Arabidopsis thaliana: one gene and its partners. The protein of the gene in region 2 purifies or fractionates together with the protein of the main gene of each other region. This does not show direct contact. Each region holds a gene or a part of one and is shown on either strand. Other genes may lie near its edges.

The links.
Region 1: the proteins of CKA2 (region 2) and AT5G27140 fractionate together in Arabidopsis thaliana (co-fractionation; one large-scale study listed by BioGRID). This does not show direct contact.
Region 3: the proteins of CKA2 (region 2) and AT1G12380 fractionate together in Arabidopsis thaliana (co-fractionation; one large-scale study listed by BioGRID). This does not show direct contact.
Region 4: the proteins of CKA2 (region 2) and CKB3 fractionate together in Arabidopsis thaliana (co-fractionation; one large-scale study listed by BioGRID). This does not show direct contact.

What each region holds. Positions count from the first base shown.
Region 1 is NC_003076.8:9,545,932-9,552,704, reverse strand, and holds AT5G27140 (NOP56-like pre RNA processing ribonucleoprotein), read right to left. Parts: upstream 4,164-6,773; coding exon 4,086-4,163; intron 3,985-4,085; coding exon 3,940-3,984; intron 3,887-3,939; coding exon 3,794-3,886; intron 3,715-3,793; coding exon 3,550-3,714; intron 3,470-3,549; coding exon 3,269-3,469; intron 3,173-3,268; coding exon 2,675-3,172; intron 2,604-2,674; coding exon 2,331-2,603; downstream 1-2,330. Other genes in the region: AGL39 (AGAMOUS-like 39), read right to left, coding at 5,152-6,072. UniProt on the Arabidopsis thaliana protein: Required for 60S ribosomal subunit biogenesis.
Region 2 is NC_003074.8:18,531,293-18,538,950, forward strand, and holds CKA2 (casein kinase II, alpha chain 2), read left to right. Parts: upstream 1-3,157; 5' UTR 3,158-3,194; coding exon 3,195-3,490; intron 3,491-3,712; coding exon 3,713-3,842; intron 3,843-3,975; coding exon 3,976-4,170; intron 4,171-4,296; coding exon 4,297-4,454; intron 4,455-4,551; coding exon 4,552-4,642; intron 4,643-4,762; coding exon 4,763-4,828; intron 4,829-4,917; coding exon 4,918-5,000; intron 5,001-5,078; coding exon 5,079-5,142; intron 5,143-5,240; coding exon 5,241-5,309; intron 5,310-5,391; coding exon 5,392-5,451; 3' UTR 5,452-5,781; downstream 5,782-7,658. Other genes in the region: AT3G49980 (F-box and associated interaction domains-containing protein), read right to left, coding at 1-188; AT3G49990 (Low temperature viability protein), read right to left, coding at 1,200-2,708; AT3G50010 (Cysteine/Histidine-rich C1 domain family protein), read right to left, coding at 5,956-7,658. UniProt on the Arabidopsis thaliana protein: Casein kinases are operationally defined by their preferential utilization of acidic proteins such as caseins as substrates. The alpha chain contains the catalytic site.
Region 3 is NC_003070.9:4,212,475-4,220,636, forward strand, and holds AT1G12380 (uncharacterized protein), read right to left. Parts: upstream 4,939-8,162; 5' UTR 4,407-4,938; coding exon 2,025-4,406; 3' UTR 1,784-2,024; downstream 1-1,783. Other genes in the region: AT1G12390 (Cornichon family protein), read left to right, coding at 7,873-7,944.
Region 4 is NC_003074.8:22,268,449-22,275,763, forward strand, and holds CKB3 (casein kinase II beta chain 3), read right to left. Parts: upstream 3,726-7,315; 5' UTR 3,515-3,725; coding exon 3,310-3,514; intron 3,224-3,309; coding exon 3,005-3,223; intron 2,917-3,004; coding exon 2,807-2,916; intron 2,711-2,806; coding exon 2,545-2,710; coding exon of another isoform or gene 2,522-2,544; exon of another isoform or gene 2,397-2,521; coding exon 2,266-2,396; 3' UTR 1,822-2,265; downstream 1-1,821. Other genes in the region: AT3G60245 (Zinc-binding ribosomal protein family protein), read left to right, coding at 355-357, 561-600, 873-961, 1,060-1,142, 1,239-1,302; AT3G60260 (ELMO/CED-12 family protein), read left to right, coding at 5,855-5,939, 6,621-6,730, 6,866-6,934, 7,115-7,230, 7,304-7,315. UniProt on the Arabidopsis thaliana protein: Plays a complex role in regulating the basal catalytic activity of the alpha subunit.

The DNA of each region.
Region 1 (6,773 bases), on a different chromosome or scaffold from region 2:
TGATGTTTGGGACGAAACTAATATTACATGTTGTGGTTTCAGGCCTGAAGGGATTACGGGTTTCGGCCCAGAACCTCCTGATATTCCGAAAAAAAAAAAAAAAAAAAAAAAAACTTAAATATAAAACTATATTTCATTCTATTAATTGTTAATTAGTTTAGATAATAACAACTCATGAAATCATTAGATTAGTGCCGGTCTGCCGGATATGCTCCTAGCTAAGTCTATGTCATAACATATAGAATCGACTAGTTAATTATCGTGGTTCTACCATTTATAGTTTACCAGATCATACTGTATGCTTGAAAATTGATAATCTTTCGGAAATGAATTTGTTTTGAATATTCTCAAAAACGTGTTCATCTTAGTACCATATCTTTTTGTCATCAAAATGGTTACGGATCTTCTAGCGTTTAATCACCCTATTTGTTTTTTTGTAATATCATTGTTTTTGTTTTTGTCAACAACAAATATTAACATGTGAATTTATATTTTAGTAATAATATAATAACTATATTAGCAAAAACTATTACCCTACATATTTTGGTATTTTGTAATGTTGTTATTTTATTATTAAAAAATGTTTTTATTTTATTAAAATTTGAGAAGGATCAATTATTGAGTTATTGTTTATTCAATCTACGTGAGGATCTGAATCTAATTAATCATACAAACTCCAAAGTCTGTCCACGTCGTAGAAATTGTTTTAAAAAGCCCATCAAAATCTTTACAAAATAAAAAGTTTCGTTAAAATTGGATTACTATTTCAACATACAAAGTTTTCAAGTATTTAACGTGCAATTTAGTGCCAACCAAGAAAGATAATCTATTATTCTATTACATAGAAAAAGGATAATATTAACATATTTTACATACCGCCGACGAGACTCATAATTTAGATAAATGTTGTTATGTAATTGTTCTTACAAACAAATTGTTTTTATTATCACGGTTATGAAAATTAAATAAATTGTCTCATGGCTTTTCAAATATTTAAAAGGTCATGTCAAATAAAGTAGGGCCAAATTTCATATAGAGCTATCCACTTATTTTGGAATTAAAGATTAGGTACAAAAATGCATCACCTACAATCTACGGATCCAAATTATATATCATCACGATTCCCAAATTTACCTATTCACGACAATATAGTTGTTCTAACTATAGTTATATATATCTATATATATATATATATATGTATTTTGTAAGTAAAAATAATATGATTATTTCTAAATTTTCGAGGAAAAAAACGAGGCCATGTCGGAATGACAAAAAAATACTTTTAACGTTTACTAATTTTTAATTAGGAAATTATTGTTCATTGGTAACTCTTTTCCTTATAGAGTATAAACCAACTCACGTTCCTTACATATGTCGAAATGACAAAATATTTGGTTATTGTTAAATTGTTTGTTATTCAAGCAAACAGAGTGTTCTGGTCTTAATAGAGTAAAGATATAAGATTAAAACACACAAAAAAGGTAAATATTGAGCGTGACACTTTTTGCATCAGAGCTTTCTCTACATCAATCATGGATATCTCAAGGTTTCTGCATTTTTGTTCAACATACATATAAGGCATTTTCTAGAGCCTAAAGCCGGATCAATGAAATCCGGGGCCCTATTTAAATTACGAAAACAAAGTACTCTTATCTTAAAAATTATAGAGTAAATAGAAACTAATTTAAACAAAATTCTGGAGTTAAAAACAAAAGTACAATAATATTCTCAAATATTTTGGACCACACAGTTATTTAGGATTTATATGTATAAAACTAACTATTTTCTCCCATTATCAAAAATCAATATATGTATATATAACTAAAATAAAATTTCTTTGAGGCCCCTTTAGAATGGGGGCCACTGTAATGTTTCATGTTCATGTGTTATGGTCCGGCTCTTAGTAGCATCGCAATTTCAATAGGTTCGATTGAGTGATTCAAAGGTTATGGAATTCAAAGCCACATAACCTTTTTACAAATTTGATTTTGTTTTTGATCCACTTTTCTCTTTCATTTATTTATGGAATTGGATTTTTTTTTTATCCAACTCTTATGGATGTTTAGCTTGTGAATTAATCATGTTTAAATCCACTTGTAAATCAAGTCTAAAGCGACAGAACCTTGATGTTTACGTTCTTGTGAACATATTTGTTGGTCTTAACCACATCTTTAACTGATTATTTTTTTTGTCAAGTCTACCGAACCAAATGACAAGGGAAACCGTTTTTGAATTGAATGACTTTGAAAGAGTATCAACATGATCCTAACAAAACGTCAAGAAACTAGACGTGTTACTCACGCATAATTTTGTATATCTGAGCTAATGGCTTACCATAGCAACTGGTTAACAGAAAAGAAATAGATTAGAGAAATTAAAAGCATCAGGAGTAATAATCCTGTTACACCCTCTTGTTTGCTCTTCTTTGCGGGATCTTCCACGGTTTCAAGTTCTGCTTCTTTCTTCCTCTTCTTCGAACACTCCTCAGTTTTGGGTTCTTCCTCATCATCAGCCTCCTTCTTTGTATCTTTGTCATTAACTTCTTCTTCTTCTTCGCATGCTCCTAAATCTCCTCCTTCAAGATTTCTCAAGCGCGCTTCAAGCTGTCGAAAAAAATTAGACCATCAAAGAAGGAAGAAAAATGTAGATAGGATCGGGCGGGAGAGAAGAATACCTTTAAGCGGCTTTCGACTCCCATAGTGTTGTCTTGGCCATTACCAAAAGCATCACACCGGATAGCAAGAGCAGATTTTGCAGCTAGTGAACGTGCGATTTTACCCTTGTTCTCTGGTGCAGCTTGCCTAACCAAAGGTGCGTGGTAGATTAAACCATACTTTGGAGTGGCTTGTTTGGTCTTAAGGGCTTTATATAGGGTCTTTTCAGCTCCAAGAATCTGAATTGTGCTCCATGGTAGCTTTGAGAGGTTCCATAAACTACCACAATGAGATATTAAGCGAGCACCGACTAGCTCCCCGACAAGGGCAGTTAGATTTGGTGCAATTTTGTTCATTTTGTTCTTCAAGTCGTCACAAAGCAGAGTTTTGTCCTCAGCGATTGAAAGAACTTGGTCACAGAGTTCTTGGATGTGCATCAAATCAAGGTCACTGACTTCAGTTCTCGTAGACACCATAGAAGCCTCTTTTAGTTCTGCTTCAACTTCATCAGCCAATATCTGAGATGACATTGGACACAGAAAGATGTTTCATAAAGACAAAACTATAGTTTAATGGAAACAAAAAGTCAAGGAGAATGGTAAATAAGGCTTTACCTCAGAGAAGTCTAGCGTTGCAGCATTAATCCGATTCCCCATTAGTTTAACCACCTTGGCATATAAGATATTGTCCTGTACAATATTAGCAAGCTCGGGAAAATGCAAACCGTACAATTCACAAACGCTCGTAGTGTAAGTGTTAAGCTCTTTGTCAAGATCATCAAGCAGACTGATAGATAGGATTATCATGGTCTCCACCTAACAAAACATTTTAAGTATGAGAGGGGAAAAGTAACATAAGCAAGGGTAAAACAAAACACAGAGAACTCAATGACTACCTTGTCAGAGGTGATTTTTAGTTTATATCTAGCAAGGATGTGAGACAATTCCAAGCTCACTGGAGCTAAATCATTATCATCCAATCCGGATAAAAGTTCGGTTAACTGACTTCTCACACCTCGTAACAGCTCCATAACAGCATCGTTGTGAACACATTCTATGTCCTAGAGGAGAGAAGCAAATCCGTAAGACACAAGCCATATATATACAGAAATATGTAAAAGATCATAACAAAATACACACCAGTTTCTCTGTGATGATATCTCCAAGCTTTGGATCAGCCACAGCTAAGATTTCACCATCATCACAGTTATTTTTCAAAAACTTGTGTAGACCCTTGCTTGGAGTTCAGATGTGTTGTCAAACTTATGAAAAGCTTTTAGCTTAACCATCCTTCGAGCTGACTCTGCAGAGTAGAACTCAGTACCCAAATCCTACAAGAACAAATTTGACATACTTAGAATATTAAAAACAAACGACACATATAGACAAGGTTAAGATCAATGAAAGTAAGAGAATGAATAAGGTAAATAACCTCAACATTAGAGAGCTTTCCTTCATCTAATACTTTAAAGAGTGCAAAACCACCTGACGTCTCAAACAGTACGAGCATCTTTAAGATTACGAGAAACCCTTTAATCAACTCAACATCTCAAAGTCAGAACTATACTTAGTCAAAAACTAATACTTGGAAGCCACGTTCCACTGACAACGGAGAAAGATTCAATAAATACCTAAGAGGATTTAAGCAAAGCTGCTGCGTTAGAGAAAGAAAAAAAGAGGAGCAACGAATTTGCTATAAGGGTTCGAGATTCTTAATCGACGATCTATATATATAAGAAAATAAATATATGATTTTCTATTAAAAAGTTACGGAAAAAAAACATGTGAAAATATAATTTTCACAAAAAACTAAAAAAAAACCTTTAAAAAAAAAACTATTCTTATTTTCTTAAAATGGTATATTTCTAAAAAGAATTATACAATTAATTTTTAAAGATGTCAAAATAACCGACCTTACTTCTAAGGGAAAAGATTATCAAAAACAAAGTTTATTTATTCTCTATCAAAAACAGAGTTTGATCTGCTAATTTTAATATACAAATTGTAAAATATATGATTACCTTAAAGAAACTATAAAATTAATTACTAATTCGAAAAATGATTATAGTTACTTTTTTAATAAAATGTTGGTATAAATATGTTCATCTAATCTACGTTACATACATAATCTTAAATTAATCTCAAGTACTCTGTTCAAAGTTCAAACACATCACCTAACAAGATGACCATTAAGGAATCAAAAAGTGTTCAGCTAAAGGCTAAAACTCATGTAAAATTACAAGCAAAAGCTCCAAAAACTGTGTTCTTCTTTTCTGAGAATCCAAATTCAAATCACTAACTTGAATTTAACATCAACAAACTAGTAAGTGGAATTGCAAAACTGATTCAAACAATTTACTTTCAACTTCGAAAGGGTTCACATCAGAGTATCAAACAATAAAGGAAAAAAGGTTTACAAAAACTTAAATTGGATCAAGAATCTCTGTTTACAATGAGACAAAATCAGAACAAGTTCTGAAGATTACAACCACATCATATCAGACATGACGTCTAAAGTCGGAATCTCCGAAGTTGATCATTGCATTGGTGTTATCGAGACCGAAGTAGCTGTTTAGACCAAACACATCATCGTTGGATAGATCATTCCAAAAGCAGATCTCATCATCCAAATTGACATTGGCCTCTGTTTGTGTTTCTTGTAGTAGTAGATTGATTTGGTTAATCTCTTCCTCTGTTTCAAATCCTTGGATCTCGGAGCTAGGGTTTTGATCAAAAGAAGCAACTTGTGAAGATGATTCTCCACAGATCTGATAGAGAGAGGAGTAACAGTCCTGATCAAAAGACGGAGACGAGAGGTTAGGGTTTTGATCGCCATGGAAAGAAGAAAAGGTTTGATCGCTGCAATACTCGTTGACAGAGTTTGGAGTAAAAGTAGAAGCAATTTGCGAATAAGAAGATCCATCACAATCCTCGACGTCGAGAGAACAAGTACTATTAGGGTTTTGGTCGAAACTAGAAACAAGTTGAGATTTTTCTTCCTTCTCAAGGCAAGCCATCACATGCTTCTTCATTCTCTGTAAACGATCCTCGATAATGCTTAACTCAGAGAGATCATCACACGAATGGTAGAGATCAGGGTCTTCCCACCAAAATCCTAGTTTGGATCCGGCCGGGTTAACAATCTTGGGTGGAGGCTTGCGATTTAGGTAACAATCAGCGATTTCGTAGGCAGAGGAGTAACCGGAGAAGGAATAGACAACATCGGAACTATCGGAGGGAGAGGTTACGAAGACGGCGATGTTAGCACCGGAGATAAGACAGAGATCGGCGGCTTTGGAAAAAACAGTTTGACGGCGTTTAGAGCAAGTCACGGCTCGTTGCTCTTTGGTTTCTCGTTTCTTTATTTCGATTTTGCGCTTTGTTCCTTTCTTCATCATCGTGGAATCAGATGAAGGCATAATGTTTCTTACGGAGAGACAAATAGACACAGAGAAAAAGTGAAAAGAGAGAGTAGAAGCAAGATAGATATATTACCCATATTTATAGATGTAATAGCCGCCTGAGTTATATATGTCAAACTTAATTAGGTCTTGTTGTTTTCCTTTTACTGCCCAACTTTATTTCTATGCATTTAACGTTTTTTTTCTTTCCTACTAAAACGTTTTAGAGATTTCTTTTATTACAACAATAGCAGAAAAAAATTATTACTACTATAAACAATTAAACATATATATTGGATATTCAAAATTATCTAAATATTAGATTTTAACCCGCGTTATACCGTAGAAATAATTTATTTTTTTAAATCAGTATATATAAAAGTTTGCAAATTATATCTATCTATAAAATAAAAATATTTTATAGTTTACAATTGTTATTAAGTAACGTTCTTTCAAACCCGTTCCGCCAAACTCGTCCCGTAAAAAAACCCAGTGGTACACCGTTAATTTAAATATATAATTAAAATAAATATTTTACGGGATTGCAATTGTATTTTAGTTTGTCAAACAAATTTTTTTAAAAATATTTGTCGAAATCTAATTCAAATTTTGGAGAAATTAGATTTAGTGAATTGATAAGAAATGTATTTAGGTGCATTTTGCTCATTTTAAGGGATTGCAATTGTATTTTGGTTTGTCAAACATTTTTTGTTTTAAAT
Region 2 (7,658 bases):
CATCTTTCCTCTAGTACTGTGATAAGAAACTGTTTTGGGGCTTTATCAAAGTGTTTTCTTGAGAATGTCCTATCGTTGAATAAACGGTTCCATTCTTTGCACGTAAGTCGTAATTGTTTGAGAGATGTGGCCGGAACACGACATAGTATCTCCTCTAACAACTCCTGTGGAAGGTTCAACACCATCATTGGAAGAAAGAATCGGTGGCTTTGATTACTATCATTATTTTTTAGGTTTTCGTGTTTCAACGTTTACTCAATGTTATCTTATTGGAGTTGTATATAACTCTTTCCTTTTTTTTCATTTTACTGCTATTTTTAGTTTTTTCTTTTCCTATTTGAGCTTTTTTTTTTTTTTTTTTTAAGTTTTTCCTTATCCCATCTGATTTCTATTTTTATTGTTTTACAAGGTTTTTATTTCCTGTTATTTCTCCAAATGATTCATATATGTAATTAATGTCAGTAAAACATTATTATGCCAAGACAAATGTCACTATGAAGAACTTGCTCGGTTGCTCCACGACATTACTTTGGTGTTTGATCTCATCATCAATCTTATTTGTTACCCATATCTCTTTCTTTGATGTATGTGTACGCTTTAATAATCAACACCGAAAGTTTCTCTTCTCTAACGACTCATAAAGAGATAGTTTCATAACAACCACGCTGATAGGGAAGACGTAAACGTTCAAATCTCTCTGTTGTATAATCAAAACTGAGTAAGAATATACCGAGCTGTTCCTATTTATCTTCATCATAAGCAAACCAGTAAGTGTTTCCCTTCAAAAGATAGGCGGTAGTCAGAATTTATGAAGTGGCAGTCCAGAGTGTGACATCATGATTCCTCCATGAATTAGAGTTCATATCATCGATTTGGAATTCTTGGTCGTCACAGTTTTAGTTCTTATAGCTAAAATATCTTGTAGCTCTTATTGCCAGATTTGTTGTCTTGGTACTCCGTTGGTAGTATCCAAGAACAAAGGTTAAATTCTGATTTGAGTCGACTCTGTTCTCATCACTTTCTCGAAATTAGACTAGTAAAAGTAATAAATAATATTCAAAAGTCCACATCCAAAACAAGATTCAAGATTTTCAAATCTTGATGAAAAAGAAAAAACAAACAGCAAATATTACACGAAATGGCTGGAAAAACTGGTTTTAAACAGTCTGAGAATTGTTTTGTTTTACCTTAGTAACATATTATTTTAGAGGTCTCGACGATGGACCAGAGGTAGCAACAGCTCTTTGAGCACGCTGCGTTTCACCGCAATACAGCATCTTTGTCTGTTTCTTAATTATCCTTGCTTCTCGCTTTTCGGCTTTTACAGCATTTTTCCGCTCTTTCTTCTCTTCTTTCGACTCTTGACCATGAGTCTTCCTCTTGATCGGTTCAGCTTTTGGGATTTCCGCTTTGACATCGGTTTGTTCAGCTCTCCTACCAGGTAAAAACTCGACAGGAATCCTCTCTCTCCCTTGGAGATTAATGATTCTTCCATTTGAACTCAATGCGTTAGCTAATGTTTCACTCAGCTTCTTCTGCCTAGCTGACTCTGCAGCAAGGATTTTACCAGGGAGGTTATCGAGATTCGAGTATGTTGAGACTATGGTTTCACAATCATGCTTCTCGCTTTCATCGCTGCTTTCTTCAGTCAGCTCTACAAATTCATCTTCATTCCCGTTATCAAAATTTTCACCATATTCTACAGTTCGGCGGATAACATGAGCAGCAGTGTCCACTTCCTCTTTATCTCTGACAGAGTCACTGTTCTTCAGTATATCCGCAGGGTTCATATATTTTTCTTCAAGCTCATAATCTTTTGCCTTCCCATGAATAAGATTCTGAACTTCTTGAGCCATGAAGTCTTCTTCTTCTTCTTCTTCTCCATCTTCAGCTATGTAACCATCACCGTCACTATCACTTCCATATTCATTGAGTTCGAGCTGATCAAATAGCTCATCAATTTGACGAGGAACTCTCGGGTTTTCAGCCACAGGTTCATCACTTTCTCTTTCTCTAACCTCACGTCTTACAGAAAACTCGAGCTCTCCATTGCTCACACCAGAAGATTCACCCTTTTGAGTAAGATTAGCTTGAACAACAAAATCTTCTTCCAAATCCTCAACATCAGAACCAAACTCAGACCCATCACTGTTTTCAAGCAACGCAGCAACTTCAGGATCAATAGCTTTCTGCACCTTGACGTTAACAGTCTTGGACGCAACACTATACATCAACTTATTATCATTACCTTCTTCATTCACCATACCAGAGATCTTCACACGAGACGCATCATAAGCCTTAACATCACGAGGTAACTGAGCAACCTCATACTTAGGATTCACATAGAAATTAGAACCACCACCAGTATTCTTAATCTCTCTCAAATGCTCCAAGTAATTATAACCATCATCAGGATACCCTAACTCTAAAATCTCCTTCCTCACATGAGCAGGTAAAGAACTACTCGAATCCCCAAAACTAGAGTAACCATAATCCATCTCTTCAGGAGCATCATCAAACCGTGAGCTGTCTCCTTCTTCTTCTTCATCTTCTTCAATGAAACCATTGATGTTAACAGGGTTTTGATCAACTCGTAAGAAGATCTTATCACCACCTGGTGCATCACTGTATCTTGGGTCTGACGTATCACGAGGACACAACTCGAAAGTCGCCGCCTTTTTCTTATCAATAAACTTCTTCTTCCCCATTACTTACTAATTCACACCTTCTTAAGGGTTTTGCAAACTGTAAAACAATTACGAAGATATAAGATGTCTAACTTCTAAGTCACAGCAATCAACTAGACTATGTTTCAATCCTGACTAATAAAATGTAAATTTTTATCATCAATCAACACGAAAACATCGAAAAGGGAGAAACTTTAAGTCTAGAAACGATTCAAAAACACTAATTTAATGAAATTGAAGAAGCTTACCTGAAGAGTTTGAGAGAGAGAGGCGGAGAACAATGCAGATGAAGAACAAAAACGCTGTTGAAGATTTTTAGTTTTAGGGTAGAGCCACCCAAAACGCATCATTTTAGGGTTTAACCAAAACGCTGCGTTTTTGTGTTAAGCAAGCCAAAACGCGTCGTTTTTGGCAACAAGTCAAATTAAATATTTGTTTTATTTCCATAACTCAGTGTATGCCACTAAAAGAAATAATCCACCGCGGGAGAGTGCACCGAATGGTTACATGCACCTAATCTTCTTCTTCTCCTACTTTCTTCGACGGTACCTGTTGTTATTGTGCGCCATCTTGATCTTACGTGCGCCGTTGGCGCATTCTCTTATACCACCATTAACGTGCGTCAACACCGGAACCGTTGAATCAGACGTTACTGGTATCAGGTTCGATCGTTGCCTCGATACCGATTCTCTCGCCAAGATCTCTCTTTCCACCGTCATGTCGAAAGCTCGTGTTTATACCGATGTTAACGTGATCCGACCTAAGGATTATTGGGATTACGAATCTCTCAATGTTCAGTGGGGGTAAGATCGTATTTTTCGAAAATTATGAAAACCCTAGGAAGCTAATCAGTTAAAAAAATTGGATCTTGTAATGTAGAAATTGAGCTTTTTGTCTAGCTGGCGATGTTCTTGGTTTTTAATCTGGTTTTGAGGAGAGTTTGTTGGTTATTATGATTATGATCATGATGGGTGATGATGCTTTTGTTAAAGTTTTGAGCTTTTTTATGTGGGTTTCGTTGTCAGGGAGCAAGATGATTACGAGGTAGTGAGGAAGGTGGGGAGAGGGAAATACAGTGAGGTTTTTGAGGGGATTAACATGAATAACAATGAGAAGTGTATTATCAAGATTCTCAAGCCTGTTAAGAAGAAGAAGGTGAGTGTCTATATTACTTCAATTGGTGACTTATGATTGATAGCAATGAATGGTGTTGCTTTTACAAAAGGTTTTGTCTTTACTTAGTTTTGATTTTGGGTTGCCTTTCTGAATTTGTATGATCCTTTTACAGATTAGAAGGGAGATTAAAATACTTCAGAATCTTTGTGGAGGGCCAAATATTGTAAAGCTGCTTGATGTTGTCAGAGATCAACACTCAAAAACGCCAAGCTTGATATTTGAGTATGTAAACAGCACAGACTTTAAGGTTCTGTATCCAACATTGACTGATTATGACATTCGCTACTACATCTATGAGCTGTTGAAGGTAATTTTAATTTATTTTATGTAGAGTTTATTATTTCATTACGACTTCTGATTTGTGGAATTTTCTCGGTTCCACAACAAATTTAGTTCAGTGATAACCTTGCAAATTTCCTATGATATGCTGCAGGCTTTGGACTTCTGCCACTCACAAGGAATAATGCACAGAGATGTCAAGCCACACAATGTCATGATCGACCATGAGCTGCGCAAACTTCGCCTAATAGATTGGGGTCTCGCTGAGTTTTATCATCCTGGAAAAGAGTACAACGTCCGTGTGGCCTCAAGGTATGTATGATAGGCGCCTTCAAGATAAGTTGGTTTCCTATCCATTTTTAATATTTAGTCGTTATCAGTATCTAAGCTTGATCAAATGTTGTCTCAGATACTTCAAAGGTCCCGAACTTCTAGTTGATTTACAGGACTATGACTATTCCTTGGACATGTGGAGCCTCGGTTGCATGTTTGCTGGGATGGTGAGTACCTTGCGAAATGCTAGGCTTCCAATGCTACATTTATATATGATCATTCTTTTCAAAAAATTTCCAAAATATAGTATCGTAATGATGAAGTGTCTAAATTATCTTTTCTTGTAGATATTCCGCAAGGAACCTTTCTTCTATGGCCATGACAACCAGGATCAGCTCGTCAAAATTGCCAAGGTAATCAAATGCGTGGGTAAATGTGGGAATTTTAGAGGGATTGAGTGTTTTTTCACATCTTTAGAGTGTATGTTTGATTCTTGACTCAGGTACTCGGAACTGATGAATTGAATGCATATCTGAATAAGTATCAGTTAGAACTTGATACTCAACTAGAGGCACTTGTTGGGAGGTAAGCAGAACTCACATATTCTCTCTATAGTATAAGAGTAGATTAAAGCAGTGCCAATGACCAATCCTCTTTCCACAGACATAGCAGGAAGCCTTGGTCCAAATTCATCAACGCTGACAATAGGCATTTGGTCTCACCTGAGGTTTGTTTACTTTGTTCTCTGTATTCTATAAGAAACACAAACGCTTTTGTTTGTTGCCATGGTTTCTCTCTCGAGCTGTAACTTTGTTTTAAATGTAGGCGATTGATTATTTGGACAAGCTGCTCCGGTATGATCATCAAGACAGATTAACTGCAAAAGAAGCAATGGTAAGTATCATATAACGTAACTCAAACAAGTTTTCGTTCTCATAGTCTGCTAAATTGTGATGGTTTTATGAATTGATGACAGGCTCATCCCTATTTCGCTCAAGTCAGGGCAGCAGAAAGCAGCAGAATGAGGACTCAATAGAGATGTCTCGGCCGATTTTTGTTTCTTCTTCTTCTCCAGTGTGCTCTTTTGTTGTTTACTAATACATTTTCATATCCATATGGATTTCTTTTATAATGTCGAAATTATGGATTTATAAATATGAGAATTCTTATTACTCCCTCCGGTTTCTTAAAAGTTTGTGTTTTGAGATTTTTGACACTTTAAAAAATTATTTACAGTACCAATATGAATCTAGACTAAGTTGTAACTTGTAACGAGGCTCAGATTACACACACATGCCTTGTTTGTACACAATTATGTGTCTTTGATCATTTTGATCTACGTTATGTTTCCAAATTGATATTTTACTGAACTTGTATCTATACTTATTGTTCCCCAGCAGTAGTTATGAAATTATGAAAAACAACAAGCGTTCAAAAATCACACAGATGCAAAGCAAAATACGATAAATCACAACAATATCGAAACATATCAGTGTTTTACTTTCAATACAACAAATGAAAGTTCTTATAACTTGGAAGACTAATGGCCACCAAGGTAGATCACCTCTTTACTTTTAGTAAGTAAACATGATCTGGAACAATATTCAAAACCATTGCACTGGAAAAATGTTTTGTGTGGACAACGCTTCTTGCAAATAAAGCAAAAAGGTCGAGACATATGATGATTGTTTGGCAGAACACTTACCTCTGCACCGTACTTGTTGAACCATTTTGAACCGGGCTTCATGTAGAAGTCCACCCCAACCAAGCATTCAATGTGTATGGTGACACAACAATACTCATCACAACTATAAAACCGCTCCTTTGGATTTAATCTTTCCTCACAAATTTCACACCAATAAGTCATGGTACTTGTCTTGTCCCCATAAGAAAGAGTGAGCACATGCTTATCATGCTTATACCTCACCTTTTGAGCTAAAGTAGCACACTCAAAACACAAAGCAAAGTCGCACTCCTCGATGCAATTGAACGTTTCCTTGGTGGGACAATGCCCTGACTTCTTGCAAACCGAACATTTTCTTTGCTCTTCGTCTGGTTTGGATGTGAGGTATAAAGGATGTATATGACTTGGATGATCTAGTGGCTCGGAAGCTATGGCACACTGCACGTGTAGATAAAAACATTTTCTGCACCGATAGAGGAAACCGACAGTACGCTTCCTAGGACACACCGAGCATTCATACTCATTGATCTCCCCATCACCGTATCCTGCCTCTAAATTAAGCTGATGTGGATGTATCGGATGATCTATTTTACGAGGAAAATTTGCGCATGTTTCGTGGAGATTATAATCACAGCTAGGCGTACACGAGTAGAAGTTACCAAAATAGATTGGCGTAATGCATATGTTACACAGCTTATCCTCGTCGTAATCTCTTCCCGTGTCCACATCAAGTCTCAAAAGATGACGATGAGTGAAATGTCGTATGACTCCACTTCCTTTCGTTGCAAACGGTGGATCTACTTCTTCCTCATTTTCTTCTGGCACTCCCTCAAGTTCTACACCATCCCACACATTTTTTTGTGTTGCACATCTTGAATGTGCCGCATACCAACAACCATTTTTGATACAAGAATAGCCTCCGTATAATTTGTTGATCTTTCTGCGACAAACACCACAAGACAAACCTTCTTTCTCAAACGAAGAAGTAAAATAGATACGATGGCTATGGCGAGATATCTTTATGACACGTGGTAAGTTGATACATCTTAGATGAGTCACAAAGTCACAAGGCGGACACATATAGATAGGAGAGCTTGGATCGGCCAAGGCGCAAAGGTTGCAAGTTAAGAAAGCTTGTCTTGGAAACAGAGCAAGAGGATGACCATGCCACTCCGGACGGTGATGGTTTATCAAAAAGACTGGTGGTTTCCTCGCACAAAGTATACTTATAGCAAAATCGCAAGCCGAGCAATAATAAAGTATACGGCTAAGAGCTTCATCACAACAATAGCATTCCCTGGTACTATCTTCCTGCAACACGACAAGCTGGAGAGAATGATTTGGATGAAGAGGATGGTTGATCTCAACAGGAACATTGTTAAATTCTTTATGGTTATCGCCATTGCAACCTATGCAGATAAAATGGAGAGTGTCTTCTTCTCTTGATAACTTGAATGTCCGCCAGTTTACAGAAAGGCAATGCCACTTGTTATTGGTGCGCCACGAGACGTCTTCAAGAACACGAAATCTTCCGTTTTCCAGTTTTACTTGTGCTTGAG
Region 3 (8,162 bases), on a different chromosome or scaffold from region 2:
GGAGAGAAACATAAACTTTAGTTTTCTTGAAACAACATTAAAGTTTGTTTACTGACTATTGTGTAGTAGAAAAAAAAATATGTTGTTATCTTTCAAATCATTTAGATTATTCTTCATTTTCTTTTCTCCTTTTAGCTTTTTTAAACCTTTTAACGCAAAAAGAAAATCAAATACACATTCATATAATTCGAGAGAGATTTGGTGAGAAGTCAGCATTGCCGACAGGAAATTCTGCCTCACCACCAAAATGGTGAAAATACCAAACCAATAATTACAACAACTTTATTTAGGTTGTAATTATATGAGTACATAATTACACTACCCTCTTATTTCCACGAAATATGAACTCATATTATTTAATATATTGACAAAAAAAAACTTGTGTTTCTGTGTCTTTTAATTTTCATTGAAATGATGATGTACATGCAGTAGTAATAAAAGTGAAAGCCGATGTATTCTAAGATTTTCTTATAACTATTACCTAATTTAAGTTTTGATTTTTTAAAGATCAACTATTCGAGGAGGTGGGCGAAGTGAATATAATGCATGCTAGAAAGTTCAAAGTTTTACAATGAGAAAAAAAAAAGTGTATATAAAAGAAAAAAGTAGTATACTTTGCTATTTGTGGGGTATAAAATTTAATTATTGATTTCTACTTTTAGGGTTCCCCTCTTGTTCAGCATAGTTACAAATTACCACTCCAATGAAAATGATTCCTTCTTAAATAATTTAAGTGAAAACCTATATTTCCTTCAATCAGTAACCTATATATAGATTCGACTTTATTATTTAACAATACATAAGTATGAAACTTACTTATTAAATATAACAGTGTTTTAGAATGTCGTACATATTTGTTTGTGTGTATGTGTGTGTATGAGCATGTGTGTAAAAAAGAAGAAGAGGTACTTGACTTATCTATTTGTCTGTAACTTAAATGGAAAAATAGCATCTAAATAATTGTATTTCTCTTTACTATTTCGAAATAATTGTTTGTTTTCTCTTTGCTTTCACTGTTCTTACTTAATTTGTGTAATTTCACTTTAGCTGTCCGGTCAGTCCATTTATGAAATCTTGCCACTAGATTTCAAAATTTGTGGTACTATTGATAAAGTTATGATTTACAAGAATATAAATCATGGGTTACAGTTTTTTAAATACCCCACAAAGTACAATACCATGGGCTCATAAATAAAGAAGAAATCTTTTAACCTTTCCAACTATTCATAGCCGTAAAAAAATCATGGGTAAATCACACATCTTGCTACAAAAAGATTAACAAGGTTTCATTTATAAACATCAAAAAGGGTTCTTCACATTTACAATCTCACAATTTCACCTTTTACAGCTTTAAAATGAACTTGTATACAATAGCCAAGAAAAACTTGCTTTCATGGTGGGGATCCACATTTTTGTTCTTCTAAAAGACTTAATAGATTGATATAGATAGATAATCTCATAATCATAATCATGGTTAAAATTAAATTGAAACCCGTTAATCAGGTTTTGCTCTTCAATAACTCAAGATATCAAAAGTATATGCATCTTTAGTCTGTCATTGCCAACAACAAACGTTATCATGAAGAAAGAACATTAAACTTTCAAAAGTTAAGTCATTTTCTCTCGAAAAGTAAAGATATGTTTTCAAGTCATGATTAAGAATATGAATTTCCGATGAAAAAAGCGAGTGGGATCATTACACTATTGTACCAAGAGACGAAGAAGCAAAAGCTGTCATTAATTAGAGTTTCTAACTTCTAACCGATACATCGATGATAAGGACAAGAAACTGAAATAGACACATATGTTATATCGAAAAATTATGATGGTATATTATATAGACTAAAGAAATACAAATACTCTCAATCACCTTCTAAAGAAACCAAGTACAAATTGAATATTAATGATAGTATGAATGAGATACTAGTAAATCAAAGAAATGAATTTAAACAATCCTAAAGAAATGCCAAATTCTAATGAAAAACTAAGGTGAAATCAAATTGATCAAAAAAGAGATTCAAATGTCACACTGAGGACGTATCGACAAGAACATCGTTTAGCATATGGTCGTCACCATTAGCCATAGCGAGAAGCTCTGCATCCCTATCCTCCTCGTTTGAGAAATCTCTCCTTTCGAATTTCGAGTTAGCGGATATGAAGATCAGCTTTTGAGCTCGATCAACGGCTGCATGTGACCGCCCGTTCGAGTTTACCCATTTCAAAAGAGAGGAGTTGCATTTGAACCCTCCAGTCGTAGCGTGGAGGAAAATGAGCCTTACTGCAACTTTTCCTAGTGACCTGAACTCGCTAAGATACGTCTCCCAAACAAGTCTACTGCTTTGAGGATTCGCTATCCTCATCTTTCCGGAAACCGGATCACGCTCTTTCATTTGGACCGCCCTTGCATACATAGGATCAAGCCCTTCGGTTCTCCATTTCATTAGTTCCATCAACGCAATGTGTGCCTCATCTCTAGACACAAGCCTTGTTATCAACTTATCTACATCTTTCTCTTGCTCTGGCGACAAACATTTGAACGGAGGAAGATACTTTCCGCTACTATCTCTTATCAAGTAAAGAGGGTCAAGTATAAAAGCCGCAGCCCAAGCCGGATGATAACTCTTCTTGAATCTTCTCTCAACGACTTTCTCCACATGTCCTTCCCCTACATTAAACTTAGAATCCCAATCTTTAACCTTAGCTCTTAGCTCATCCCATAGAGGTAAGCATTGCCCTACAAGCAGCTTCTCTTCCTCTATTCTCCGAGCCATCTCTTTAACAAGCTTGATCAAAGCATGAACCGCTTCTACCTCGTTCCAAAACCCTTCGTCACCAACCATCTCTCTAACCTCCCTAGCCATATGATCCTCCATTAAAACAACCTTGCAAGCATCATCATGTACTACCAACTGAATTGCTCTAGCGGAACTCAACACATCTTCAAGAAGATTAAACAACGGCTCGTAGAAACAAACCTTGTTACTACCACTACTACTACTACTACAACTTCTACGTTCATCGTCGTAATAGCAATGTAAAGGCAACCTAAGCATTATCGATTCGCCATGTTCCTGCAACTGATACTTACAGTGAGCGTTACGTATCTGCGCGGTGTTATTGATGAACTTAGCTAGTCTCACACAGTTTTGTGAAACGGATTTGAATAAAGGAAGCTCTTTTACGAAATCTTTGATCAAACTGTTGAGTCCCTGAAACTGACAAGAAAGATTCACCATCCATTGATGTTGACTCTCCAGATTCCTCAGTGCTTTGGTCTTAAACTTATCAGAGACTATCCCAACACATCTCTGAGGTGAATTTCCACAAATACCCTTCACCGTCTCCAACAAGACCTCCTCTGCGTAGTTAGACGGCACAGCTCCGTTCACAAGTACCGCTCTTCTGTACAAACTCGTCCCGTTTGGTAAATTCACAATCAAATTCACAAGACTCTCGCCGGACTCTCCTGGTTTCCAACCGTCCGATGAGATTTGGAAGAACATTGCGTCTCTGATTCTCGATTCAGCCTCTGCTCTGGCTTCCTCGTGCTTCAAGTCCAATCTCGTGGTGGCGAAATCTCTCTTGGAGATGATTGGTAAACCAACTTGTGTTAAAAAAGCTCGAAACTTTGGATGCTCAAGACCCGAGAGAGAAACAGAGCCGCAGGACTCGAAGACCCAATCAGAGAGAGAATCTAAAGCTGACTCTATCTGCGATCTGGTAAGAGACTGAGTCTGCGACGGTTTAGGACTCTTAAGCTTCTTCACACTGTCTTCAAGCATAGCTAAAGGACCCAAGTCATCTTTTCCACCGGAGAGCATCAAATGCTGCGGCGGCGGAGGAGTTGAATAATGCAACTCTCCGCCGCAGAATCTAGAAGGATCAACAACGGTTATCGGCGTGACGTGATAAGAGCCTCCGATGGGAGGAGGGTTAAGCCGAGAAGGAATCGCGGTGGTGACAGCGCCGGAGGAGTTACGTTTCCGGTGATGAGTTTGAGGAGAGGAAGAGGAAGAGGTAGGAGAAGGAGTGATGGTGGAAATGGGAGTAACAGAGTTGAAATTAGGACACGTGCCGCGTTTGAGATGCTCAGAGGCAGTGCGTGAAGGATTAGAGGCGGAGAAAACGGCGTCGCATAAAGAACAACGAAGCTTCACGGCTTTAGGGAGACCAGTGTCGGTGTTGCGTACGAGGATTGGTTCAAGATGAGTCCAATACCACGCGCCTTTACCTTTCACTGCTTTTGTTCTCACCGTCATTAAACCTTCGTATCTCTTGTTTAATGCTTTTGCTGTTAGCTCGTCTGTTGTTAACCCATCCATCGCCGGAGGAGCAGGAGCTGGAGGAGGAGGAGGTGGTGGTGGTGGTGTCTGTTGAGTCGCCGTGTGAGCGTTAGTCGTCGCCATCAAGAAAGAAAAAAAGTTTCTAAATCGGAAATTTCGAGGCTCTTGCTAAAAGGGTTTTAAGCGAGAGTTGGATTTTACGTGTGACATTCTTCAGCAGTAGGATTTCGCCGGAAGACGACGATCTTTAACGTCGCTGCCATTTTCCGGCGATCAGAAGAAATGAAATTTTTACTCACTTCTTTAGTTTTTTTTCTTTCTAGTGAGCTCTTGTTCTTGACTGTGAATGGTTTTTTCGAAGAAAGAGACAGAGCGGAGAAGAAGAGGAGAGAAATATGGAAGAAAGAGAGAGAGTTACAGAGGAGGTTGAAGCACACGCGCATGGAGGTGAAAGAAGAGAGTCCCACGTCGTACGAGAACACAAACGTTACATTGGCTCGTAGTCTATCTCGCTTTCTCATCATTGGAGCGTTTTAGTCACGCGCTTTAAGTTGGTTTTGGGGGATTGTTTTTGTTATGTGTGTTTTTTTTCTTTCAACTTTTGTTTCTTTTTTTCTTTCGAAAATCTCTTTTCTTGTCTCCTACTTTAATATTTAAAAGAAAAAAAAATTGGAACTATTTGGGACCTTAATTTAATGCATTTTATTTAGATTTTTTCTCTTCTTAATCTTTATAAATGTTTTTCTTGTGCTATACAGTTTCAACCACCAATGGTAATGTACTTTCGTAACTTCAGTTGAACGGATAAAAAAACAAAATTGGGATCTTGAGAATTTTGAAGGCTCTAAGTTTTGGTAAAAAAAGAATTATTAACATAGGCTGAGTTTTTAAAAAAATCTAAATGATTAATTCGGTTTATAGAATCCTTATTGTGAATTTAGTTAGAGATTATGTGAACGTTGAAGACACTTTTTGAACATTTTTTTTGGATTTGATTACAAAAATGAAAAAAATGGGTGAGTGGGATTTCCATTTGTGTCCTATTGTCTACGTGGGATGAGTTCAGAATTTGGGCATAAAAGGGTAGAGTGAGAATTTAATTTTTGTTTCTAGATAGACAATGAAAGACATTAACGCAGAGACTGTGTTGTGTTGACCATTTTCTGTTGACTCATAAAGTACATTTCTTTGTAAATATTTTTTTTTGGTTTGTGTTGAAAGTTGTTTATTTTTGACTGCAACCTTTTACAACTTCCATTTTTTTACCGACACTTTTGGTTCCTACTAATTCCAACCATTTTTTTACTTTTTGTTAATCTCAATAGCAATTTTGCTTTCATTTGCTTTGTATGAATGTTCATGAATCATGTGTGTCTTGGCCGTCGTTAGAAGTTTGAAGTCATGATTCATGAATAACAACATCCTTTGTACTCTTCACAACTTCTACCTCTTTTTAGTTAAAAGTAAAAACCCAAAAAAACATGAACACACACTAAATAAAATTATGACTGAGGACCAATATTTACCTAAATAAAATTACTGGCCAATGGACACATTTAGCTAAATACCAACCAATCTGTAGCAGTCCAACAAAGTACACATGCTTTTCACTCATAGCCAAAAACTTAGAATTTTACTTTAGTATGTCGTTGATCTATGAATAATTTAATACAACCTATAAAACCATATCAATGCGAACAAACTCATACTAATGAATATTAAAAACACATTTTCTTGATCAACTATTCCAGCTAATTAACCACAACAAAGACTATTTCTTATGTGTCACACACACACATACACACACACACACATAAGTCTTTCTATATTTTACCCTTGATTTTCTACTCTTATTCCAATGCAAAAAGTGTCTTGAACTTGAACTTGTAAATCTCTCTTAGTAAAACGTATAATTAAAGTTATAAGTGGAGGTTAGTAGGAGTCAAGTTTTAATTGGTCAATATCTAATGTCATAAAATCCATGTCACAACTGTCTCCCACCTTCTAATGTAGAAGTATCATGTATGCATGCTTATATGTATGAATGATCAATGAATTCTAAAGTCTAATATACAAAATCCACCCATAACTGTATCTATATAATAAAAAGGCAGAAAATTAATTTCTTACCACATAATTTAGAGCAGTCCTATCTTAAAAAGATGGATAGTACTATCTATAAGAATGATCTTGTCTGTTACATACCAACCACCCAAAAACCATGGATTATGCCCTCTAATTTTATTTTTTGATAAACGACGTTTGCAATATAGTGATGAGAACTATTAATAACATCACTTTGTCATACGTTTTATTAACTTAAGGTGTCTACAATGTAAACAATGTAACAATATATCAAAGTAACTTCTTACGTTAATCTCCACTTAAATAAAATAATGCTGATTTTGTGAATGAAATTTGAAAATAAAATGTTTAGAATTGATATATACTTTTTTGCATGATACTTTTCATACGTGGAATGAGATTTCAAGATTGGTCCCTAAATGCATATATTAACTAAAAATAAGTAACTGTTGACAGAAAATAGGTATGTTATAAATTTGAATCTTCATTTTCCAGTTAGTGAAAACGAAGAGCCAATCCTTTCAGTTAAAAAAATACTGATATTGATTATTACTGTATCAAACGTAAATTGCTTGATTTACAATCTTGTACGAGAACTTCTTTTCCCAACCACTCCACTATATCGTGTTATACCCGAAATAAATATATATATACCATGTAAGAAATAATAATAGTTGAAATAAAAATAATGCCACCTTTTACATTGATAGCGATAGTAATTATTTGATTATTGAACTTGGATGGATTTAGTTACTAACATAGCTTCTTTATTTTACAACTTAATTGAACCACACTAGAGAGGCCAGAATCTATAATTAGTGAGGAAAATCCGACTAAGCTAAACCATATTACAATTCCAAAATGCTATCCTTCATAATCTCAATCTCTTAATCCTTGCAATTATAAGTTATGGATTCACCGTTCTTGAGAAAAGAAAGAAAGAAAAATACATGGAAAAGATGAAGCTTGTTTTTCTTCGTACTAGAAAACAGCTGGCTTTTCTCAATCACATGATTGAATGGTTTCTGGTACCATTTTTGTTTTTAATTTTTCATTTTTGATTTCCTTAAAACTATACAATAAGACAATGACCTAAAAAAAATTATACACGACTCAACAAAAATTACACGGCTCTCGTGCCCAAACCCAAACTGTTTACTATTTAATTGGGCTAAATCTATAGAGGCCCAATGGCTTATAAATCATAGATTCATAATACTGAAATATTAAACCGGCGTAAATGGTACGTACTTCGGGAAATAACGAATTCGATTTTAACCGGAAACTGAACCGGAAGCTGAGTCTCGTGCCTGCCTTCTCTAGGCTTCTTTGTTTCCGATCAGAATCTCGAGCTCAACTGTCAAAACTAGCCGACCACTAAGTCGTTGTCCTAACTTTCTCTCTGTTCCTCATCGAACATTATTGGGAGGAGAGAGAGAGAGAGAGAAGACCAAGAAACAACGAGGATAGATCCGAGGAAATTGTCGGAACCAAAAGGAGGAAGATGGGAGATATCTGGACATGGCTTATTTCCTTCTTCTTCCTCATCGCTCTTGTCGGAATCATCGTCTATCAGGTGCGATTCCCAATTTCTAGGATAAATAAACCCAAAGTTCTTAACTTTTCTATCGGAATTTGCCAATTTTTTCGCTTACGGTTATAATGATACCATATTTGTCCATTTTGATTCATTTGGAGCCTTTTTTTTGTTTCTGGGTAGTCTGTGATTTAGCTAGAATTAGGGTTTTATGTTCTTGTCACATGTTTGGAAGAAGTAAAGGTGTAATTTTTGGG
Region 4 (7,315 bases), 3.7 Mb from region 2:
ATTTCTCATTTCTGTGTTTAACCTTTTCGTACATCAGTTTTAAAGCACAGAGAGCTCAATGTTCTTCCAATATCGTTATTAATAAATTTTGATTAAATTCAATCAAATCGGAGTTATATTACCACATGAGGTTAAAGGGCCATATTAAAAAGTCTGCACTTCATATGAGCAACAAGGCTTTTATGTCTTTATGGTTGATTTGATGGCCCATATATGATAGTTCAAAGGCCCATATTAAAAAATGCCCTAACATGATTCGATTCGTATATAAAGACGCTTAATGTGACAAGCGAACTTGCTCATTAGGGTTTCTCATCTACGACGGCGTGGTGTTCCTCCTTCCTGCTCTGAAAAATGGTGAAAAACCTAATCCTTTCTTTTTGTTATTGTTCTTGAATCTCTGTAATTCCATAGCAAGTTATTCGAGTATACTTCCTTCTGTCTCGTTCTAGCTTTCGTTTTGAGATTTCAAGTTTCATAGTTGATCTGTGGATTCTGATAGAAGTCTAGTTTTGTGATTTTGTCTTTTGACTCTATTACTCTTTTTCGATGTTTCACAGGCGAAGAGAACGAAGAAGGTTGGAATCGTCGGCAAATACGGTAATGTTCCTGACTCATCTCTTATTGAATCGCTTAGGATGTTAATGCTATCGAAAATAAGGATAGGATCTGCAAATTTGCTTAGTCTTGTAGCTCATTTTAATGGAGTATATTAACATGTATCGTTCATTTTTGATTACATGTTGTCAATATGTAATGGATCTGTCTACACTGGTTTCATATTGCAATTCGTTCTTCATTTTGGGGTCTAAGTTGGTTATTATATGTATTGTGAGTTCTCTTCCTAACGTATGTATGGTTATGTGATTCAGGAACACGTTATGGTGCGAGTATCAGGAAGCAGATTAAGAAGATGGAGGTCAGCCAGCACAGCAAGTACTTCTGTGAGTTCTGTGGCAAGGTATGAAAGAGATTAACATTCAGTTACTGTTTTCATTTCTAAATCTCTTTTGGTTTTGGATTATTGTGGTAACTGTGGTTTGATCAAAATGATTGCAGTACGGAGTGAAGCGAAAGGCTGTTGGTATCTGGGGTTGCAAGGATTGTGGCAAGGTCAAGGCAGGTGGTGCTTACACAATGAAGTAAGTGATTTCTGAGTTATATTTGTATTAGCTTTGTGTTGGTTATCAATCAATGATTTGTTTTCTGATGAAATTGTTTTCGTTTGTGAATTGCAGCACCGCCAGTGCGGTCACTGTTAGAAGCACGATCAGAAGGTTGAGGGAGCAGATCGAGGGTTAAAAGTCTGCTGGCTTTTTATATTTGGTTTCCTTGTTTTGACAATTTAAGTTTTGCAAACTCTATGCTTGTGATTTTGAATCAAGACTTATACATTGAGCAGTTTAAGCAGGTTTTTATTTTTTGTTGAGTTAATTTTCAAAGTTTCATTACCAATAGTTCTAGCTATATAACCTAAAGTTAGGCTTGAGGTTTTGAATGTTTGATCCTATTCAACACCTAATTATAAATCCTTGAATCCTGATCTAATGTGATGTTTCTTATACTTTATTTTGATCAGCACTTCTTTAACCCTATAACTTGGTAACAGTATTCGCACGAGTCTTTACAGATCAAAATTTTTAGAGTTTGATGTGTGTTTTCAAAGTGCTTTACTAGAAATCCTTACGATAATACAATCTATAACTGAGTGTACTAAGTTTAATTACACAAAAGTCGGTGAATAAACAAATACTAACGTTACTGGTTTTTATGTCTGGCAATGATCTCTTATAAAATCTATATATTGACTTGTTTATATGCTTTTGTGTCGTAATCATCCTAAGATATTGGTCCCTTGAGTGTATTTTAATGGCCATACATGTCTCATTATGATCTTTGATGAAATTGATTGATCTAAGTTATACTTCAGTTGAAATTTATGAGTTTTACATGAAATTAGAAAAACGAATAATAATCCAACAGTTCAAAACAAAATCCAACTAACTGGGGAAAATCTTTTCGGAGACAACAACAAGACCCAAGTGTGTCGTTCTTTTCCCCCAATGAGCCAGGCTGTTGCACTTCTAAGTTTTCTTGGAACTTCATGAGATTCTTTCAAGATTCCATCTTTCAACTTCAGCTCTCATCCTCTAACCCAATGGTTGATGTATGCTCCAGTCACCGCAGCTATCGTTTCAGTTGCTCATCCGGATGCAATTACAGAGCCACTAAATGTATCACCATTGAGAATGCAGAGCACTAGTATCATGGTTTGTGTACCTTGAAGCCAAAGATTTTTGGGACATAGCTTTGAGTAGGCTTCTGCGGCTTTAAGTTCCCGTAAGTCATCAAGAACAAGTGAGGGAATGTGGTTCCAAAGTACGCTCCATCAATATCTGCACAAGTCATTTAAGGAAAACGCTAAGATACAATGACACTCAAGATCAGAGTGTCTCAACTGAAGCAAAATCAGACCTAAGCTTTCACTGAAATATTGAAATGGCAAAGCCAAAATTATGGATTATGAACAGAGAAAAAGGATACTGCCTTGGAATTTAGATCGCGGGTAAGATATATCCTCGCATTTAGGGCAGTATATCTTCACAGTACTCGATCTCGGGATATCGGATTGTCCAACTGGAAGACAAGACTGACCGCAACAGAAAACTCTCGGGCATCTCCCGAAATCACAGTTCTTGTACTTCTCAGTCTACAGAGATCAATAAACAAGAGACGTCGTTAATCAAATAACGAAGCTAAAAGCACCAAAACATAAACAAAAGAGTAGAGAGATTCTCTCACTAACCATTGCAGCCATTCCTTTAGTAGTCAAAATGTAACGAACATGAATAAGACCATATAGCATCTCAGCAGCTGATTCCACCATTTCATGCTGTTCATCAGTAAACATCTCACCTAAACATAGATACAAGATTTCAGACCAAACTTTACTAGCTCCTTATTAACAAAAAAAGAAAGAAGAAGAAGAAGAGAGATGACTTACTGTTGGAAGCATCAACATCTAAAATGAGATCAAGTGCATAATCATAGTAAGGGACTTGACCACTTAAACCACAAAGATTGAAATCATCTTGAATATAATCTTCATCGACTTCACAGAAGAAATCATTCCCTCTCAAATTACAAAACCAAGAGATCCACGACGTATCATCACCCTCCGATCCACTCACATCAGACCCTTCACTATCAGTTTCCGATTCCACTGCAACACCAAAAAAAAAAAATCATCAGAAAGAAAGCAATTAACCAACAAAAAGACTCACAGATGTGAAAAAGAGAGGAACAAACCATCAGGAAGCTGAGTTTTAGTAGATGTGAAGGAAAAGGGATCTTTGTCTTTAGAAGAGAAAACCCTAGATGTGGTGGTGGAAGTTGAAGATTTCTCTAGTTTCTTATTGAGTGCATCGTTGATTCGTTTCCGATCAATAGCTCCACCGAGGATCTCTGATCTCGATGACCCACCACCACCTCCTCCACTACGTTCCTTGTACATAATTCGATTCCTTCTCCAAAAAGACAAGAAATTTGGAGATTAGATTCTCGAAAGTGTCAGACTTTCTGAGAAGCTTGAGAGAGAAAGGAAATTAGAGAGACGGAGAAATCTAGGGTTTTCTTCTTTTTAATTTTAATTTTTTTAAAAAAATTATATATAATTTTGGTAACAGAGTGGAGGACAGGACATAGGCGATGTAAAGATGGTCTCTCTTTCTCCTCTCAACTGTTTTGTTTTTTTTTGCTTTCCAGTTTTTGTTCTTTCTATTTTACAATGGGCTTCTATAATTGGGCCTTGTGTTAGCTAAAGTCAGTTTAGTCTCATTGCTTGCTTCCATCAGAAACGACCAAAACAGATGGGCCACAGCCCACATAAGATGAAATCCATAAATCGTGAACAAACATGACAACCAACAAGATTACGATTTTTGGAATTAGAGTACATATACATGTTGGAACTTGGAAGATGCATTGGTCAACGGAGCTAGACCTGACAAAGGTCTTCGGATAATAATAATATCGTAAACATTAAGGAAACTTTTTAATTTTAAAAAATCGGACATGAAGAGCACGAATTGAACTCTATACAAAATCTAGAGTTGAATCGTGTTTCAGAAACTGAAGGTACACGAGCTTGTGGTGGCGTGGTGCACGACTCTGCATAAAACTCATTATATTATCTATTCAAAATCTAAGCATTTGTTTCAGACAACACAAGTTTCATTTTTAAAAGATCTCGACTTACGACAAAAAAAAAAAAAAAGATCTCGACTTTTTTTGTTAGTTAAATACTACAATAGTTTGAGAAATATTTTGTATTTATTTTATTTTTTTTAGTTTGAGAAATATTTTGTATTTCTTCGTTTGTGTTCAAGTAAAGTTTGTGATCCACGTTTATATACAAAATTGATAGATAAAAATTGGACTGGCATATCATGTAATATACACACCCAAACATAATTTTTGGGATCTAGAAACATTTGCTTGCAGAACGGAGCCTTTGTCGGAGAAAGTAGTCATGCCTCGTTACAACGACTTTTGACAATTTCCCAAAAGTTTTATAGAAGTTGTAAATTTAATACTAGTAGTTGTATATTGAAATTTTATTTTTGCATTAAACGGTAAGGATCTACTAATAATTGACATGTTACTAAGTGAATGTCTAATCACACGAACAAAAAGAAAAGGCAGTTTACACGCGGGTCGGCTATATTTGAACCATACCGGTGATAGTATTGGCCCACGCCTTAATGAAATTGTCGCACCCATGATACCGTGATCTCACTTATGTGGTTAGCTTTGTAAGACAACATTATTACTCTACATGCTATATTATCTTACTCGGATTCGATGTTTTGTTTTATTAAGAAAGTAAACAAAAACTAGATTGAAAGCTAACCTTTAGATAGATTTTATTAAATAAAGTTTAATTTCGATAATGCATTTCCAAACTCGAAGCGTCACTAGTTGCAAACGGAAGTGTGGCACTAAGACTTTACTAATCATATAATTCTGTGAGATTAGATTTCAATATTTTGATCAGGTAATTCAAAATTTTGTTGTTGCCTAACCATTCCTTAACCGCTCAGCTATTTTGAATGTGTTAACAACCAAGTAGATCTTTGATTTTAAAGTATAACTTTCTAATGGTTGGTTAGTATATAGAAAAAATGAAAACAAATAACCATAAGTTAATTATGTAATTCATTTCGAATTACTATTGTGTTACAGCAATATTCACGATGTTCACAACAGTAGAAAACAGAATCTTAAAAAGATGCTTAAAAATAGAGAAGATTGAAAGATAATAATAAAAAAAATGAATTAGAAGATTGTCGTTGACGTCGTCCGACTTAAATACCGATGACCGCACGAGTCATTATTTTCCGTTACTAAGCTTTTGATAGCGACTGAACAACACGCGCCAGATCCTTTAGTTGTAAATCCCCATTTTTATTTTCTTAAACCCAAAGAAAGAAAAAAAAGAAGAGAAACGGCCGAATCTTCATAAATTCCGCCATCTGTTAAGCTCAATCGCCGCCTAAACTCCGGCGACTCTCTCGGTAGATCTCTCAATCCTAACTGTTTTCGTCTATCTCTCTGTTGTATCTAAAAGCAGCGACGCCGATTTGTTCGTTTTCCGGCGGGTACATATAGTATGATTATCTCTGTTTAGGTGTTTTTGATCAGTTTCTCATGATATGGATTCGCATTGCGTCTCTGTTTGATTCAGATTCCGAAAGTTCCGATTGATTCGATAACTTGTATTTGTTGTTTGTTTCTGCATTTGATAGAAGATATTTGGTGATTGAGGTGACTCGGAAGAGAGTGAGAGAGAGAGATGGATGATAGAGGAGGATCGTTCGTAGCAGTGAGAAGGATTTCACAAGGTCTAGAACGAGGAAGTGTTTATCATTCTTCTTCTGGTAAATTTCATCTTCACTTTGTACGATGATTCTTTCTATTTTTTTTGCTTCTTCTGGAACAAACGCGTTTTCTCATCATTATACATCTCTATCTCTATTTCTCTCTCTCTCTCTCTCTCCCACTTTTTCCACGTTTTCTCTTTCTCTCTGTGTATTCGCTGGCGATTGCCTTTTTATCTGAGATTTAGTGTCGCAGATCTACCTTTCGCCATTTGCTTTTTCGTTGCTCTTTCTCATAAATTCGTGGAGTTTTTGTTATGTGTGTTGATCTTCTTTGTAAGTCCTATTTTTAGTATTTCCCATACGAAATTGTTTGCGTTGATTTCTCTAGTTGAGATTAGTCTTCTTCCCTGCAGATTCCATTTCTCTTTTTGACTATATTGCTAGTTTGTTTTTCCATGGAAGCATGTTTTGCTAAAATCTTTTGTTACTTGCTTCGATTTTGATAGTCAATAAGTTGAAGCTAATGGATGATGTGTTCTGGAATCTTTGATTTTTCTTTCATCGTTCTGTATTTTGACAAGTCTGATGCTTAAATGACATTGTATGCTTCTCACGTATTAGTTATCGTATTTGTAATATAAAAGTCAGCTAAAAGATGTTTGACTAGTCACCCTCTTGCATTAAGAAATCATTTCTTTATCAAAAAACATCACAATTCTGATTTTAATTTTATTGCAGCTGAGGTTGTAGCTGGATCGGCAGCGTGGTTAGGCCGTGGCCTTTCCTGTGTTTGTGTTCAGGGTAGAGACGGTGACCCTCGTCCTTCATTTGATCTAACGCCTGCTCAGGTACCATTTTCCTCTTTTTTAATTGGTTTACTTTATAATGATTGCTTGTTTCTCCTCTCATATTAGCTGACTTCTGGTTAGTATTTTTCAAGTAGTATATATAACTTGTATGATCCTTATTGTCAATGCTTGCAGGAGGAATGCCTGCAGAGGTTGCAAAGCCGCATTGATGTTGCTTATGACAGCTCAATACCTCAGCATCAGGTATGCTTTCCTTTATGGGCTGTGTTTGTAAGGACTGCTCACAACTAACTTGTTCCATAAATTAGATGGTCTCTGTTTCAAGTTTACCAGCTCTTCAGTTTTACTGTATGCTAGCTTCATTGGTCAAAACTCTACCTGCGTTTACATAAATATATTGTTTGCTATTTCATATGTGTGTAGGAAGCTCTAAAGGATCTTTGGAAACTTGCATTTCCTGAAGAAGAGCTACACGGAATTGTATCTGATCAGTGGAAGGAAATGGGTTGGCAGGGAAAAGATCCATCGACAGATTTTAGGTAACGTCTCATCTCATTGTCATTATCCTTGGATTTTCCCACTTCAATTGACTCACAGTAGAGCATCTGGCAGGGGTGGTGGTTT